Linked DNA regions of Caenorhabditis elegans. The protein of the gene in region 2 purifies or fractionates together with the protein of the main gene of each other region. This does not show direct contact. Each region holds a gene or a part of one and is shown on either strand. Other genes may lie near its edges.

What was found.
Region 1: the proteins of lbp-6 (region 2) and ctsa-1.2 fractionate together in Caenorhabditis elegans (co-fractionation; one large-scale study listed by BioGRID). This does not show direct contact.
Region 3: the proteins of lbp-6 (region 2) and ilys-5 fractionate together in Caenorhabditis elegans (co-fractionation; one large-scale study listed by BioGRID). This does not show direct contact.

Annotation. Positions count from the first base shown.
Region 1 is NC_003280.10:11,737,338-11,743,377, forward strand, and holds ctsa-1.2 (Serine carboxypeptidase ctsa-1.2), read left to right. Parts: upstream 1-2,020; 5' UTR 2,021-2,183; coding exon 2,184-2,239; intron 2,240-2,344; coding exon 2,345-2,564; intron 2,565-3,259; coding exon 3,260-3,652; intron 3,653-3,780; coding exon 3,781-4,130; intron 4,131-4,360; coding exon 4,361-4,526; intron 4,527-5,230; coding exon 5,231-5,410; 3' UTR 5,411-5,539; downstream 5,540-6,040.
Region 2 is NC_003279.8:6,727,796-6,731,277, reverse strand, and holds lbp-6 (Fatty acid-binding protein homolog 6), read left to right. Parts: upstream 1-1,901; 5' UTR 1,902-1,911; coding exon 1,912-2,118; intron 2,119-2,672; coding exon 2,673-2,873; 3' UTR 2,874-2,982; downstream 2,983-3,482. Other genes in the region: ant-1.2 (ADP/ATP translocase), read left to right, coding at 319-1,221; mec-6 (Mechanosensory abnormality protein 6), read right to left, coding at 3,237-3,395.
Region 3 is NC_003284.9:6,532,989-6,538,735, reverse strand, and holds ilys-5 (lysozyme), read left to right. Parts: upstream 1-1,895; 5' UTR 1,896-1,958; coding exon 1,959-1,992; intron 1,993-2,624; coding exon 2,625-2,737; exon of another isoform or gene 2,738-3,479; coding exon 3,480-3,596; intron 3,597-4,334; coding exon 4,335-4,391; intron 4,392-5,088; coding exon 5,089-5,187; 3' UTR 5,188-5,246; downstream 5,247-5,747.

The DNA of each region.
Region 1 (6,040 bases), on a different chromosome or scaffold from region 2:
AATGTTAGAAAAATATGTTTTGCAAAAAGCAAAAGATGAAAGTTTTGTGGCGGGAAAATCAGGAAAATCATGAGTGATTGACAAACAAGCTAATTGATGAAAGATATAAAGATATAATCCATAGTGTCATAGTACTCATTCTCTTCATATCGACTATTACAAAGTGTATGACAGAATCCTCTCTCTCTCGTCGTCATTGTCATAGAGAGACCGGTTTTTCACTCCCAAGGACCTGCGTCTCTTCAGGATTACCCACTCTCTCGTCGGTTCTTCGAGGCTTGCCCAACTTTTTGACAATCTTTCGGTAGAATGGTGATGATGATGATCATCATCGAAAAATAGTTTCAAAGTAAATTGTATAGAATTAGAAAAGTAAAAGAAATGAAGAAAGTGTTGAGAGATGCTTCAAAACATGTTTTTATGGGGTGCCGCTCAGGGATTTGGGTTTGTCGGAATTTGAAGTTGAGACGGGATTTTGTTTGAACAAATCATGGTGAAGATTTTCAATTTTTCTAAAGATTTTATATGTTTCAGTCCAAGTTCTGGGGGGGGGGACACTTTGAGATGAGCTTATAAAAAAAATATATATTCAAAATCTGAAATTTCAGAAAGAATACTTTTTTTGTTTTCTGATTGCACAATTTTTCAGCCTTTCGATTGCGATTGTTTAGCTGAAATTTATTTAATTTTCTTTATAAATATACTTTAACATTCCTTGAACATTAACAAAAATTATTAAAAACTTGAAAAAACTAAAAAAAAACCAACCTCCAACCTTAAGCTTACGTTATAATTAAGCCTAAGTAGAGCTTAAACCTAAGCCTAAGTCTAAGCCTTAGTCTAAGCCTAGTCCTAAGTCTTAGACTAGGCCTAAGCGTAAACCTGAGCCCATACTTAGCCTTAGCCTATGCCTAAACCTACACCTAAGCCTAAGACTAAGCATAGGCTTGATCTTAAGCCTAAGCCTAACCCTAAAATTCTAATCTTTTTCCAACTCTTCCCCTAACTTTCTTCCTTCCCTTCAAATGACTTTCATAAATTGTGCACAATAATTATGAAAACTACGTTTTTCGTGAATGATTCTTATCATAAATGTGTCTGCAATAATGATAATCCCCTCAACTTTGCCCCAAGATGAACTGTTTTTTGCTGACAATTTTGTAATTCCACGAAGAGCACTGACGTCAGTTGGAGAAAATTGCACACGAGGCTATAAAATCGAAAGTTGGTTTCAGAAGAAAAAAAACATACTACAGGCGGATGTTGTCGTCTGATAAGAGTTTAGCAATAAAAATTCCAAATTTCTGCAGAAAAAACAATTATAGTTTTTGAGGAAAACTTTCTAAATTTTCCAGCGTGTATATATTTCCGGTAAACGTTAAAAACAAAATAAAAACAAGTTGAATCATGGCCTTGATAAAGAAAGAGAGAGTTCTTGGTGCACATATCTCGGTTATTTTCAGTGCTATCAAAAATATGTCAACTACAAAACTATAGATTATAATATGACGCATAAGTTTGTAGTTAAAATTTTTTGATTAAATCAATGAGCACAGAGATATGAGCTCCCAAACTTACTGTCAGTTTTTTCTAACATGTTGGAAGCCGTAAGACGTCGGCCGCTATTACACGTTGTTGGAATTATTGTACTACAATTTTAAAGATTCTATTTTGTTTTACATGTCCTATAAAAATAAAAGCCCCCTTGAGCCTGTAAAATGCCAGCCGCTTTTACTCAGATTGGCAGATTGAAACATTGTAGAAGTTAGAATAAATAAATTAGCAATTGAAAATCCAAATTATCAATTAAAAACTAATTTTTAAAAAATTTAAAAATGTTTCTGAACCAATTTCTCGAAAAATATGAACTCCCGCAGGTTACAACTTTTGTTTGAAGAGAGGTACGTGAAGTGCATCCCACTTATCTTGCACTAAAACAATCCCCACTTTTCTCTTGGCTGCCTTCTCCCGGATCCGAACTTGATGATGTTATCAACTTATCAGTACAGTTTCAAAAGATAGAGATTCAGACGCGACGATGGGCACAATCGGCTTAAAACATCAGATGATAAGCTGAAAAAGTGATAAGGTTATAAAAATGCGGGACAGACTCCTCCTATTCTGTCACTATATAGTCCGTATTAGGAAAAGTACGGTTTCTTCTGATTTTTATCACAAGAAGGATGGTCATGAGCAGGACACTTGTACTTGTGGCGCTCCTCGGCTTCGCATATGTTTGGTAAGTAACCTTTAGAAGGCTTCTAAGCTTTCATGCCTGCCTACCGCCTATTAAAAAATTAAAATACAAAAAACCTAAAAACAACTGTGTAGTTTCTCATTTCAGCGAATCCGCTCTGATCACAAATCTCCCTGGAGCTCCAATCTCAAACTTCAAGCAATATTCGGGCTACTACAATGTGGGAACCAAGAAGAATCATATGCTCCACTACTGGTTCGTCGAGTCTCAAAGCAACCCATCAACTGATCCAGTTCTTCTCTGGCTTACCGGTGGACCAGGATGCTCCGGATTGTCAGCTCTTCTCACCGAGTGGGGACCATGGAATGTGAGTTTGAGGGGAGCGGAAAATTGCGCAAAAAGCTAACATTTTAGCTACAAAATATTGTGGATAAATTAACATGTAAGGTAAAAAAGAGGTTCCAAAAAATAGGTTCGTGTTATTTGAAAAATGTATAGCTACAATATTCTATAGTTCCTCTGAGTCTTCGTGCCCTGAAACCCAATTACTCCATTTTCCTATATTCTTGTGAAAATATGTTTTTTTTTATTTCTAACAATACCACTATCACTGATAATATTCCGTTGTTTTTACTTCTAGTTTTCATGTTTTTTTTTCTCGCCCACCTACCGATTTTCTAGGGACACTATATATGTCAACTTTGATGGCTCTTATCTCTACCATTTTCAATTTATCAAAAACCGCCAACTACTTATAATGTGCATCACATTGTGATCTACACTTTGTAGTTTACAAATGTTTGATAAATTTTAAAATAAGCGAGATACAAACTATTAAAAAAGTATATATTGTTACCATAAAAAATTGTGTTTAAAAAAATTGCCGTTAGAAATTTTGTTTTAAATCGTGAATTTTTGAAAATGTACGACATCGAAATATTTTAAGAAAAGTTATTTCTCAAGTGACATCTAGAAACATGTCACTTTTGCTGAAATTTAAGCAAACATAAAAGGTAGAGAAGCACCTACAAAGAAGATTTATTAACAGTTTTGTTTTTCCAGGTCAACACCGACGGAGCCACCCTTCGCACCAATCCATACTCCTGGAACAAGAATGCCTCAATTCTCACCCTTGAAGCTCCAGCCGGAGTTGGATACTCTTACGCCACAGACAACAATATTGCAACCGGAGACGACCAGACAGCCAGTGAGAATTGGGAAGCCCTCGTCGCTTTCTTCAATGAGTTCCCACAATACAAGGGAAACGATTTCTATGTGACTGGAGAGTCGTACGGTGGAATCTATGTTCCAACACTTGTTCAGACTATTTTGGATCGTCAATCACAATCTCATATCAATATTAAGGGACTCGCAATCGGAAACGGATGTGTTTCAGCTAACGAGGGAGTTGACTCACTTGTCAACTTCTTGTACCATCACGGAGTTGTTGATCAGGTTGGGGCAGTTTTGAATATTTGAAAATAGGAAGCCTAAGCCTAATTCTAAGCCTGAACCTAAGCCTCATTTTAAGCTCAAACCTAAACATACGCCTAAATCTATTTTCAATAAAAAAACACTTCCAGGCCAAATGGGAGCACATGAAGACCTCGTGCTGCCACAACGACACTGATGCCTGCCCATGGCACTCGTTCAGCGAGTTCTCGGCCTGCGGAGAATTCGTTGAAGCTACCCAACAGACCGCCTGGAACGGAGGTCTCAACCCATACAACATGTACGCCGACTGCATCTCCACCAGCGCAAGCTTCCGTTTCGGAATGGAGTATGAGAGAAGATTCAATAAGAAGTACACACCAGAGGTTCTTGGAACCGTTCCATGTCTTGATGAGAGCCCAGTAACCAATTATTTGAACCGTCAGGATGTGCGTAAGGCACTCGGAATTCCATCTTCTCTTCCAGCTTGGTCGATTTGCAGGTAAGATTCTAAAATTTTGCATTGTGTAAAAACCTATATATCTCAAAATCTACAAGTGTTAAAAAAAGGTTGTCAACTAACAAATTAAAGCTCTTAAAGTTTTGCACATTTTGCCGACAACTTTTTTGTATGTCCAATAGCAAATAAGATATACCTTTTCCAAATATTTTACTCAAAATCGGTGGGCGAATTTGCCTACATGCTCCACAGTAAAATGATATTATTTCCAGTAACGCCATCTCGTACGGTTACAAGAGACAATACGGAGACATGACTTCCCGTGTTCTGAACGCCGTCAACAACAACAATCTGAAAATGATGCTCTACAACGGAGACGTCGATTTGGCCTGTAATGCTCTTATGGGACAGAGATTCACTGACAAGCTCGGTCTTACGGTAGGCTATTTTATGTTTAAAAGTTTAGAGGCGCAGATGTTTTTTAGTTTTTCGTGATTTTCAATACTACGGTACCTAGTTTTGACACGATCGATTTTTTAAATGAAAAAGGAGTGTGCGCCTTTAAGGGGTACTGTAGTTTTTTCTCAATTTAGTCTCATTTTTAGTAAAAAGTTCGAAAAACGGGAATTAAAAATTTCAAATATTTCAAAATGCATGAAATTGTGAGAAAAAATCATGAAACAGCAAAGCAAATTTCAAAATTTCGAGCTACAGTACTCCTGAAAGGCGCAAAATCTTTTACATTCAAAAAAAAATCAATCGCTTCGAGACCGGGCACCGTATTTGTTTGGGCATAAACCACAGTTTTTGCTTTTTTCAATAAAAAGATATCTATATATTATCCAGACCCAAAGTTTTTCCAAACAATACGGCGCCGGGTCTCGACACGATAAATTTTTGTTGAATGAGCGAAGCTGTGCGCCTTTAAAGAGTACTGTAGTTTCAAACTTCCGTTGCTGCGGATTTTTCATCGAAAATTATTTTTTTGAAAATATTACTCTTTAAAGGCGCACATCGTTTTGCATTCATAAAAATTGTCGTGTCGAGACACCGGGTACCGTATTTTTAAACAATAAGCTCTCAATCGCTGCGAGACCCAAGATTTTTAATGTTTTGTAAAAATTCCATAATTTAATTTCCAGCTCTCCAAGAAGAAGACCCACTTCACTGTGAAGGGTCAAATCGGTGGATACGTGACACAGTACAAGGGATCCCAGGTGACATTCGCCACTGTTCGCGGAGCCGGACACATGGTACCAACCGACAAGCCAGCCGTCGCCGAGCACATCATCCAATCGTTCCTGTTCAACAAGGCCTTCTAATCGTTAGGAGAACAATGATAATAATTTTGAAATAAATGTCTGAAAAACTGAGCTCACAAGAGGTTATAAGGTTCCAGCAATTTATAAGAATTTGGAAATTGAAACAATAAAAAAGAATAAAAAGGGAAATAAGATTTTTTGGGTGTTTTGGGGAAAAGAAGAGATGGGGGGATGGGGGATGTTCATTTTTCAAGAATTGTGATGGATTAAACAGATGTGGGGGGTTGAGGGGGAGAAGAGAGGAAAAGAAGTGGCAGCTATCCGAATAAATGAGAACTTTTTTATCTTTAATTTTGCGATCGGAAGAACTTACAAAATCACGGTGGTAGGAGAATTAAAAGAAATTAGAAAAAAAAACTTAGGGGGTTTTGTGTGTGTGAAAAAGTTGAAAACGGTCTGGAAAGGGATCGATGGGATACATAGAAGACAAAAAAAAGAGGTGAAGATTTGTGGGGGGAGTCAATTAAATTAGTGTAGAAGACGAGAAATGAGAGAAGATGATACCAGAAATAGAGAAAAAAAGAAGCTTAAATAATTATATATCGGGAGGAAATAATAATTAGAATGGATCTCATATTGTGCTTTTCTTGATGTGGGGGTTTTAGGATTAGTGATGCGCGTGGCGTTCGC
Region 2 (3,482 bases):
GAAAAATAGTGTTTTTGTTTACGCAGAGTGACGTTTTAAAGGACCAGAAACCCTTTTCTTTTCTCTGTCTCTGTTAAAAAAGGCCTTGTTTATTTTCCGTAAAATTTTTCATTAGTTTCAACAATTTTTAAAGAAACACTTTTGTTTTAGATTTTTCTTTTTTTTTAAATTAATTTTATTCTTTATATTGATTAGACTTTCATGACCAAAATTTTGAGAAGAGTCTAGTGAGCTCCTTCCTACTCGCATTTGAAGAAAGTTTTATTATCAGCATTCAGGAAATATAATCTCTGAAAAAAAACATTCCAGAAGGACAAAATGACCACAAAGGAAGGATTTGATTATCGAAAGTTTCTTGTTGATCTCGCCTCCGGAGGCACTGCTGCAGCAATCTCAAAAACTGCCGTTGCTCCAATTGAACGTGTAAAGCTTCTACTTCAAGTCAGTGATGTCTCTGAAACAGTAACTGCCGATAAAAAATATAAAGGAATTATGGATGTTCTTGCTAGAGTGCCAAAAGAACAAGGATATGCAGCATTTTGGAGAGGAAACCTTGCAAATGTGCTTCGATATTTTCCAACGCAAGCGCTGAATTTTGCATTCAAAGACACTTATAAGAAGATGTTTCAAGAAGGAATTGACAAGAATAAAGAATTCTGGAAATTCTTTGCTGGAAATCTCGCTTCTGGTGGAGCAGCTGGTGCAACATCTCTATGCTTCGTGTACCCACTGGATTTTGTGCGTACTCGTCTTGGAGCCGATGTTGGAAAAGGAGTGGATAGAGAGTTTCAAGGTCTAACGGATTGTTTTGTGAAAATTGTGAAATCAGATGGACCAATTGGTCTTTATAGAGGATTTTTTGTTTCAGTACAAGGAATTATAATTTATCGTGCAGCATATTTCGGAATGTTTGATACTGCCAAAACATTGTACTCAACTGACGGGCAAAAACTCAATTTCTTTACGACATGGGCAATTGCTCAAGTTGGAACAGTTGGTTCTGGATATTTATCATATCCATGGGATACAGTACGTCGTCGAATGATGATGCAATCAGGGAGAAAGGATATTCTCTATAAAAACACTTTGGATTGTGTTAGAAAGATTGTGAAGAATGAAGGAATTACTGCATTATACAAAGGAGGTCTTTCAAATGTATTCCGAGCAACTGGAGGTGCTCTTGTGCTCACAATTTATGATGAGATTCAACATTTAATTTAATTACAGAATTAAAGTATGTATATGTTAATTTTGAAACAACATTGCCAATAAATTTTTTTGTTTAAAATGCATTTTTACTTTATTTTAAAAAAAAGAAGATTGTTTAAGTTTCACAATTTGAAAATGGGCTTCTATATATGTACAAGATACTAGTTTTTTACCTCAAAAAAAAATAAATTTAAAAAAAATTAAAACTTAGATATACTTTAATCAAAAACGATATTTTCCTCCTCAGAAATTTCAGAATTTTTTTGATAATATTTTTGTTTTTATTCGACTGAAAATTCCTCACTTTTCCTCTTTTCTATTTTTATTTTTCAAAAATGATGCAACGAATCAAAAAATGAATCATTCTTCAAAAAAAAACGAAACGAAAAATAGAGGAGACAGAAATAGAGAAAACGTTTTGAATCTCCGCCCACTCTTGCCCCCTATCATTCCATTTATCAGACCACCTAAATACGAATGATTTCCCAAGGCATTGCCATTCGTTTTCTTGTTGATTTGCAACTTTTCTTTTATTTCCATTTGCAAGTGATATGATAGTTCATCTTCTAAAATTAATTTTTAAAATAAGATTTTTTAACCATAATTTCAGACTAACGTTTTATTCAGACCTATTACATATCCGTTAATCTATTGAACTTTTTACCTGCTTTTCCAACTTCTTCTATTTACAGAACCATCACCATGTCTCAAGAATTCGTTGGACGCTGGAAGCTCATTCACTCAGAGAACTTCGAGGAGTACATGAAGGAGGTTGGAGTTGGATTGATCACTCGTAAGGCTGCTGCCAACTTGAAGCCAACTTTGGAAATCAAGGTCGAAGGAGATTTGTGGTATTCCAACCAATACTCCACATTCAAGAACACCACTCTTTCTTTCAAGTTGGGACAGGTAAGAAAGTGCAAAGTTTTTTACTTACAAAAGACAAAAATAATGTTATCAAAAAAAATGTGGGTTTTCTGATTCCAAATTTGCGACAAAAAAGTTACATAAAAATAAAGAAACGCACTACAAATTTATGAATAAAAATTGTTACTTCCATATTCACAGACAAAAAGTCTTAAAATTCCAGGTGATAACATTTCAAACCATAAATCATAAAATGATCATTGATTTCTTGTTATAAGACTTTGATAAACAATATGTATTTCCCATAGTTTTCGTGTTTTTTCATGCACGAATAATATTTTTTTAAAGCCATGAGAAACAATATCTGATTTCAAAATGCACGTTCGTTGATATCGGCAATTGTGGACAAAGTTTAGCGACTTTCTGCCCACAATTTGCTGTGAGCAAATTCCTGCCAACATTTTATCCTATCCATTTGAGCTTTTGGTTTGAGCAAGTTATCCCCAAATTCCAAGTAATTGTATCCAATAAAAATTGTTTCAACCCTGAAATTGAACTAGCATTCTTCAGACTTATATTTAATGTTTTTATCCCAGGAATTCGATGAGACCACTCCAGATGGCCGTACCGTCAAGTCAGTTGTCAACTTCGAGAACGGAAAATTCATTCACATTCAAAAGAAGATCAAGGACTCTGATAAGGAATCAATTATCACCCGTTGGCTCGAAGGAGACAAGCTTATCACTACTCTTGAATCTGGATCCGTTGTTTCTCGCCGCGAGTACGTTCGCGAATAGATTCTCAATTCCCAACATGAGCTTTGTTCTTGTCTTCCTGTGATATTTAATAGTAAATATTGAAATTTAAAGTATTACAATTATTTCTTTATGGCAATAAATGAGAAATATATTATCAGACTTCGAATCAAGACACTAAGAATGACTAATTGTGACGAGAAATTAGTTAATTTGAAAGCTGCTAAATTCTCATAAATCGACTTTCCTCTAAAACGCTGGAAGGCTATTGAAAAGGGGTGGAGGCGTGGCGCCCCCGTTACGCCTCGACAAGTTTATAAATAAATCTAGATACAATGTCTACAACACATCTGTTTCTAGATCATATTCATCGGTTTATTTTTTAAATAAGCTCTAAAAGTTTGACTATGTAATATATGAATGCGTAAGATCACAATGAAGAAGTCTTCCAAATGAACTTCCAATTAACATTTGTTCATCAGTGAATACAACTGATGAACTCGCCGAAATAGTTGCTCCATCGTTTGCATACGGTTCAGTTGTTACCCAAGAGTTGCCTTCTTCCTGAAACAAATGCGATTTTTGATTTTTTGACGCTTTTTCGCATTGATTAGTATTTGAATGAATTGATAAAAAACGTGGAAACAGAGT
Region 3 (5,747 bases), on a different chromosome or scaffold from region 2:
AACATTTTCTACTAGTCCAAGCTTCACTTAGAATACTAAATAGAGTTTGTTCTCAACTGAGTCTTCAGCTTTCGATTCCTTCCTGTCTTTATATAAAAACATGCGCTTCTGGGAGTAAGTTTGTTTTTATTAGATAAAAATATTATCATTCCCTTGTTATCTTTTTGTTATTGTGTTGAATAATCAAACAAGATAATTTTCATTTAAGTGTGTGAAGCGTCCGACCAATTCAGAACATTCCTACTATAACCAATGTAACAGTCTATGTATAAAGTCACATGTTACCACACATTTTATGATTTTTACGGAACTAAAGAAGAGTTTTTAGAAACTACTTGGTACATACTTATCAGAATGGTTTGCACGAAGGAAATTGGTCTTGAATTTCAATTTTCTCTGCCGCTTCTTCCAATCTCCCAGCACACCCATGTCTATGAAGCAAAACCAAATTGCGATGGAATCGGAGCAATTTTTGATATCAACTGATAATGTTCATTCGTTTCCGAAAAGTCTTAACGAGGCGAAACCATGCCGATCGCACTATTTACAGATCATATTATAACAAAAACGGTTTGTGTTTCATTATTTGATAGCACAAACTGTAGACAAGGAAATACGCACCTAGTTTGGTTTGCTGGAAGAGCATGACAAAAGAAAACAATTCTCCATAAAAGCGTCTAAAATGTAACAATGAAGATCGAAAAGTAAAAACTTGTGGCAAAGTTCTAGACTGGATAATTGATGCGACAACCAAGTGGTTTTGTTGCGTTTTTAGTCACGATTATTCCAATTCAGGCTCTCAAATGACGTCGTCACACATAATGAATGAATTATGACAAAACAGACTGCACTACTGAAGAGAGCAATGCGGAACGAGGATTCAGTGTGTAAACTAAGGTAAATCCGCGTGAACGTCGTAACTGCTTGGATTTACTGTCTATTCACTCATTAGTGAGTGATATACTTGTATTGAATGAAATTTCCTAAAGCTCCCGTCGTTACGGAATTCACGGTCAATTGAATTTACAAAAACCGTCCGTATTCAAAAACATTATTATAAAATGAATAAAAATTGAATTGTTCGATGTTTGATTGTTTACTGTTTTGGTTTTTGTTTAGATTATTCTACTTGTACTTGAATTGTCCTTTTAACATTTTAGTGAAAATAATCAAGCTTGAATGAGTTTTTTTTCAGTTTCACATGACTTAACCCTTGCACAAAGTTGTTGAGCCGGAAACTAAAGCTTACTCATTAGAAAAATTTACCTACTACCTGATCGTAGTTAGGGTTTTTACAAATAATCTTTGTGTTAAAAGAGAAAAACACGCTTGTTTTGTGAAAAGAATGCTGGTTCGAGATGTATCTGGGGAACTGAAAAACGTCGGTTCAAAAATTAGCTCAATATTATTTTTAATGGAACTTTATAAGAAAAAAACATCATCACATAAATACGAAAATCTAAATATTACCTCATTGAAATTTGAATAACAAAAAAAATGGTCAAAGACACAAATAAATATAATCTTGATCCTATTTCAGAGTATTTCCTCGTCCACCCCCACCAATCAAAAGTATATTAGGAAGCCGCGTTCTTTTTGACCCGAAGATTGGATTATAAGATTAGCAACAGAGGTGTATCCTTTCACGGAAAATTGCAGTCCATTTCAATAATCACAAGATTTCTGATTTGTTGCATTGTGTTGGTTTTCTGGGGAAGGATATACGTTTTTCTAGAACTATCCATGCCACACTTTGATTGGCATTGAAAGTGGCATCAATTGCTCTTTCGCTCTGCGATCACAGAGCTGTAACTCCGCCTCTGACAGTCTTCGGTACAGGTGCTTACGTAGGAATTACCGGGTTTTGAGATAAGGAATTGTGATCAAAGGCACGTGTAAGTTGATATAAAAGAGAGTCCAAAAGTTAGCAAACTCAGACAGCTTGTCCATCAGCCGATATGTTTGTCAAATCGCTTCTGCTCCTTTCTGTCGGTGAGTGTGATAACAAAATTAAAACTGGTTTCAGTGAACAGCAAAATTGTATAAGATCTAGTAAATCACCAGCTCAAAAGAATTAGATCAAAACCAACATGAAATTGGATTTTTAAGGTGCTAATTTAATTTCAATGTTTACATTTTCTTTTTTTTTTAGTTATCAGTTGAAAATGTTTCGATAAGTCTGAACACTGATGCGTTCAATCAATTAAAACAAAACTAGAGAAATTTTTAATTTCCATAAGGCTGGTAATATCTTCTTTTAAAAACAAAGAATGAAACGTCATTTAAAGTTTAATATCGGCTAACCAAAGATTAATCTAGACTCAACTACTCCCATATTTAGTGTTAACTCTTGTTGTTGTTTGCTTGTTTATAAAATTTTATCGGATGAAAGTTCGCTTAATATTAGCTCAAATCATTTCTCGGCTCACGGGACATCTGATTATAGGTTTACAGCTAATAGCACGTTTTGAAAGCTAAATATGTGTTTCACATTTGTAAAAAACAATAGGGAAAAGTAACAACAATTATAGATCGAAGAAATAGGAGAAAAATAAAAATAAATTGAAACTTTAAAAAAAGGCAGAGACAGCGAATAGAACTATTTCGTGATTACGGTATTTCAGCTATTGCGTACGTTTCCGCCGACTGCCTCCACTGCATCTGCATGAGAGAGTCAGGATGCAAACCAATCGGTTGCCACATGGACGTTGGATCCCTCTCCTGCGGATACTATCAGGTAAATCAAGATCAACTAGGGAATATGTGAATCTAGAAATGGAAATAGCAGAATATCAGAACACGTTTTCAATTTTGTCATGAAACCATACAAGATGTTCGGTTGCCTGTTTATTGTTTTGCCATTTAAATAAGGAAACAATAACACTTCAGAAAAATACGTGAAATTCAAAAGCTCATCTTTCATGTCTTCATTAATTGATGGTTTTTGAAATCGGCACGAAATGTTTGTTATGCCTCATTGAACAGATATTTCTTTAATGAAAATCTAGCATAATTGAAACGGTTCATCGGACCACAGCCCCCATATTTTTCACATATCTCTTCTCAAGCGAATCGGAAGTTCCTAATCAGTATGGTAAAATAAATCGCGTTGAATTTTAATTTTGAGTTTTTTCGATAAAAATGTATAACAAGAAACGATGTTTTAAATTGCTAAAACAAAAAAACCACAAAAGAGCAAATGCGTACTTTCCCGAGGAAATGGACAGGAAATGCTTTGAAAATGTTAAAACGGGATTGATTTTTGTATAGGGGAACTTTTGCATTGAAGCTAAGAAGATAAAAGGCATACTAGAAATGAAAACTTTCAAAACCATGTAGACAAGGAAATTGTATGGAACAACAACAAGGATATACAAAAATTGAACTCTACTCTATGTATTCCAGTTTTTTTTAATTTTAAATGTACCAAGACCCAACTATAAAAAGTAAAGAATAAAAATATAATATGTTTCTTTTAGATCAAGATTGGATACTATGAAGACTGCGGACAACCAACAAAGAAGGCTGGAGAGACTACTGAAGCTGCCTGGAAGAGATGTGCTGATGATCTTAACTGCGCTACCACTTGCGTCGAGGTACGTGCAGATTTAGCAACAGGATACATGCAAAAAAAATCATCAAAATTCTTATTTTGGGAAAACGGGTGTTGAGTGGGTGCAACTTTTCATCCTTAAATCGCAAAATTCCGGATAGACTGCGGCTTATTTCAGTCATGGAAGCAATTCTATCCTTTGGGAATCTCGTCATATCATTCTCAAAATTAAAAACTTCGCGACTAAATTTAGTGTACGAATTACGTGGATCGCCCACCTGAGAACTCAAATTTCTACTATCTGCCGCTAATTGAGGCAAATTAATTTAAACGTCATGTAGACAATACTGCGATGAGTAACTTTTCTGCAATTTCAACGGCGGAACTAGAAAAAAAGGAACTAGCTCAAAATAAGTTGCGAGATAATGTCAAAAATCACAGAATTAACCTGTAAACAAAAATGCACACATAGCAAACGAGCCCAGCAAAAAACGTCATTGTTAGCTTCTATGTATGGCTATAGCGGTGGCGACGTTAACGACATCAAAGACAATAAGTACTTATTGTTATCAACACCCCGCTAACAACGTGCTTACCACGCCATAAAAAGTAGCAAAGAAAGATTATGACGGCTTGAAAAGAGGTTAAAGAACTCTAATACGGAATGAATGTTTGCACTCTTCACAAAATTTATTGAATACGTCAAAAATCACATATACAAAAGAGGAAATCTAAAATTTTAAAATCTACATGTTATACAAGCATTTTGAAATAATTTCAGAACTACTACAACCGCTACAAGTCTCAGTGCAATGGACTTGGAATGGGAGCTTGCCAGGTGAGTCGCCTACGCAGTTGTTGTTTTGCTCTGGGCACTTTCAAATTGTGTAGATGAAATACAATTTAAAGTTTTCGAGTGTCTGGTAGTTTGGAGGAGGTTGCCCCCCGATTTTGATTTTTGAATTGATCAGAAGGAAACAAAATATTTCATAAAGTGATGCGAAGTTTTAGGAAAGATACAAAAATTTCCGCGAAAAAGGGGTCAGAGTTTTTTATTTAGAGCAAGAATGCTACTACGCAACTAACTATAAGAGGTTGAAAATTAAATGTCGAACATTTCTATTTTGGGTAGCAGGGGAAAACATTAATATGCCATAGTCACTAGGTAGGTGAAACGACCCTCTGGAATAGAGAAATTATTGCAGACCTGAACAGGTCTGACGTAGAAATGTCTAGAGCATCCAAGTAGTATTCCACCAAAAAATGTACATATACTTCCTGACAATTTTTGGAAAATTCTGACGACAGAAACACTACAATTTTTTCTCGATTCTTTATCTTTTAATCATTTTGGTCACACTTGAGCAGTTTTTTAACATCATTTCATTGAGTGGACATGTGTATTTGACAATTGATAATAGTGGGACTAACAATCAGAAAACTACGTAGCATTTTCAGAAGTATGTTGTTTTGTTCAAGTTAGGACAAAAGACCTTAGATTTCAATCAAGCAAATGGCAATCCATTCAATTTCAGATCATGTCCCGTAACCACAACGGAGGACCACGTGGATGCCACAACGCCAACACCTTGGCTTACTGGAACGGAGTTAAAAGCTGCTGTGGATGCTCTTAATTTTCAATTTTATCAAAATAAGAATATATATGAATCAATAAAGCTTATTTAAAATCAAAGTAGAAAGGATATCAAACTTGTTTATAAGCTTTTCAAAACATAGGTTGCGAAAAAATGCGAACGTTTTGAAAAATAATTGAGTAGGCGAAGAGGTCAGTGGGTTTAAAATGATGTCAGAGTGAACAATTTATGAGAACAAGCATATCGTTTTCTAAATTTGTAAAGGTCTAAGTAGACCACCATCTATGTCATAGGTTGTATCTTAAAATAAGTTGACCCGTTTTATGATCTAGTTTTATATTCTTTTTGCCTCTGGTGAGAATAAACAAGGCTTTCAATTTGTCTGCTCGATGATGCATGATGTTTACGATACTTTCGGATTAAAATAATCGTGAGATGGATTTGCACGAAAAGGTTGCGGAACGAACAGCTCGAATGATATTAAATGATAATCTCGAATTGTCAACAAAGTACATTATGAAGTGATAGGAACTGTTGTTCGCAGACCTGAGATGTTTTGAAAACTTGATTTTAAAACCTACGCAACCGGAAAATTAAAG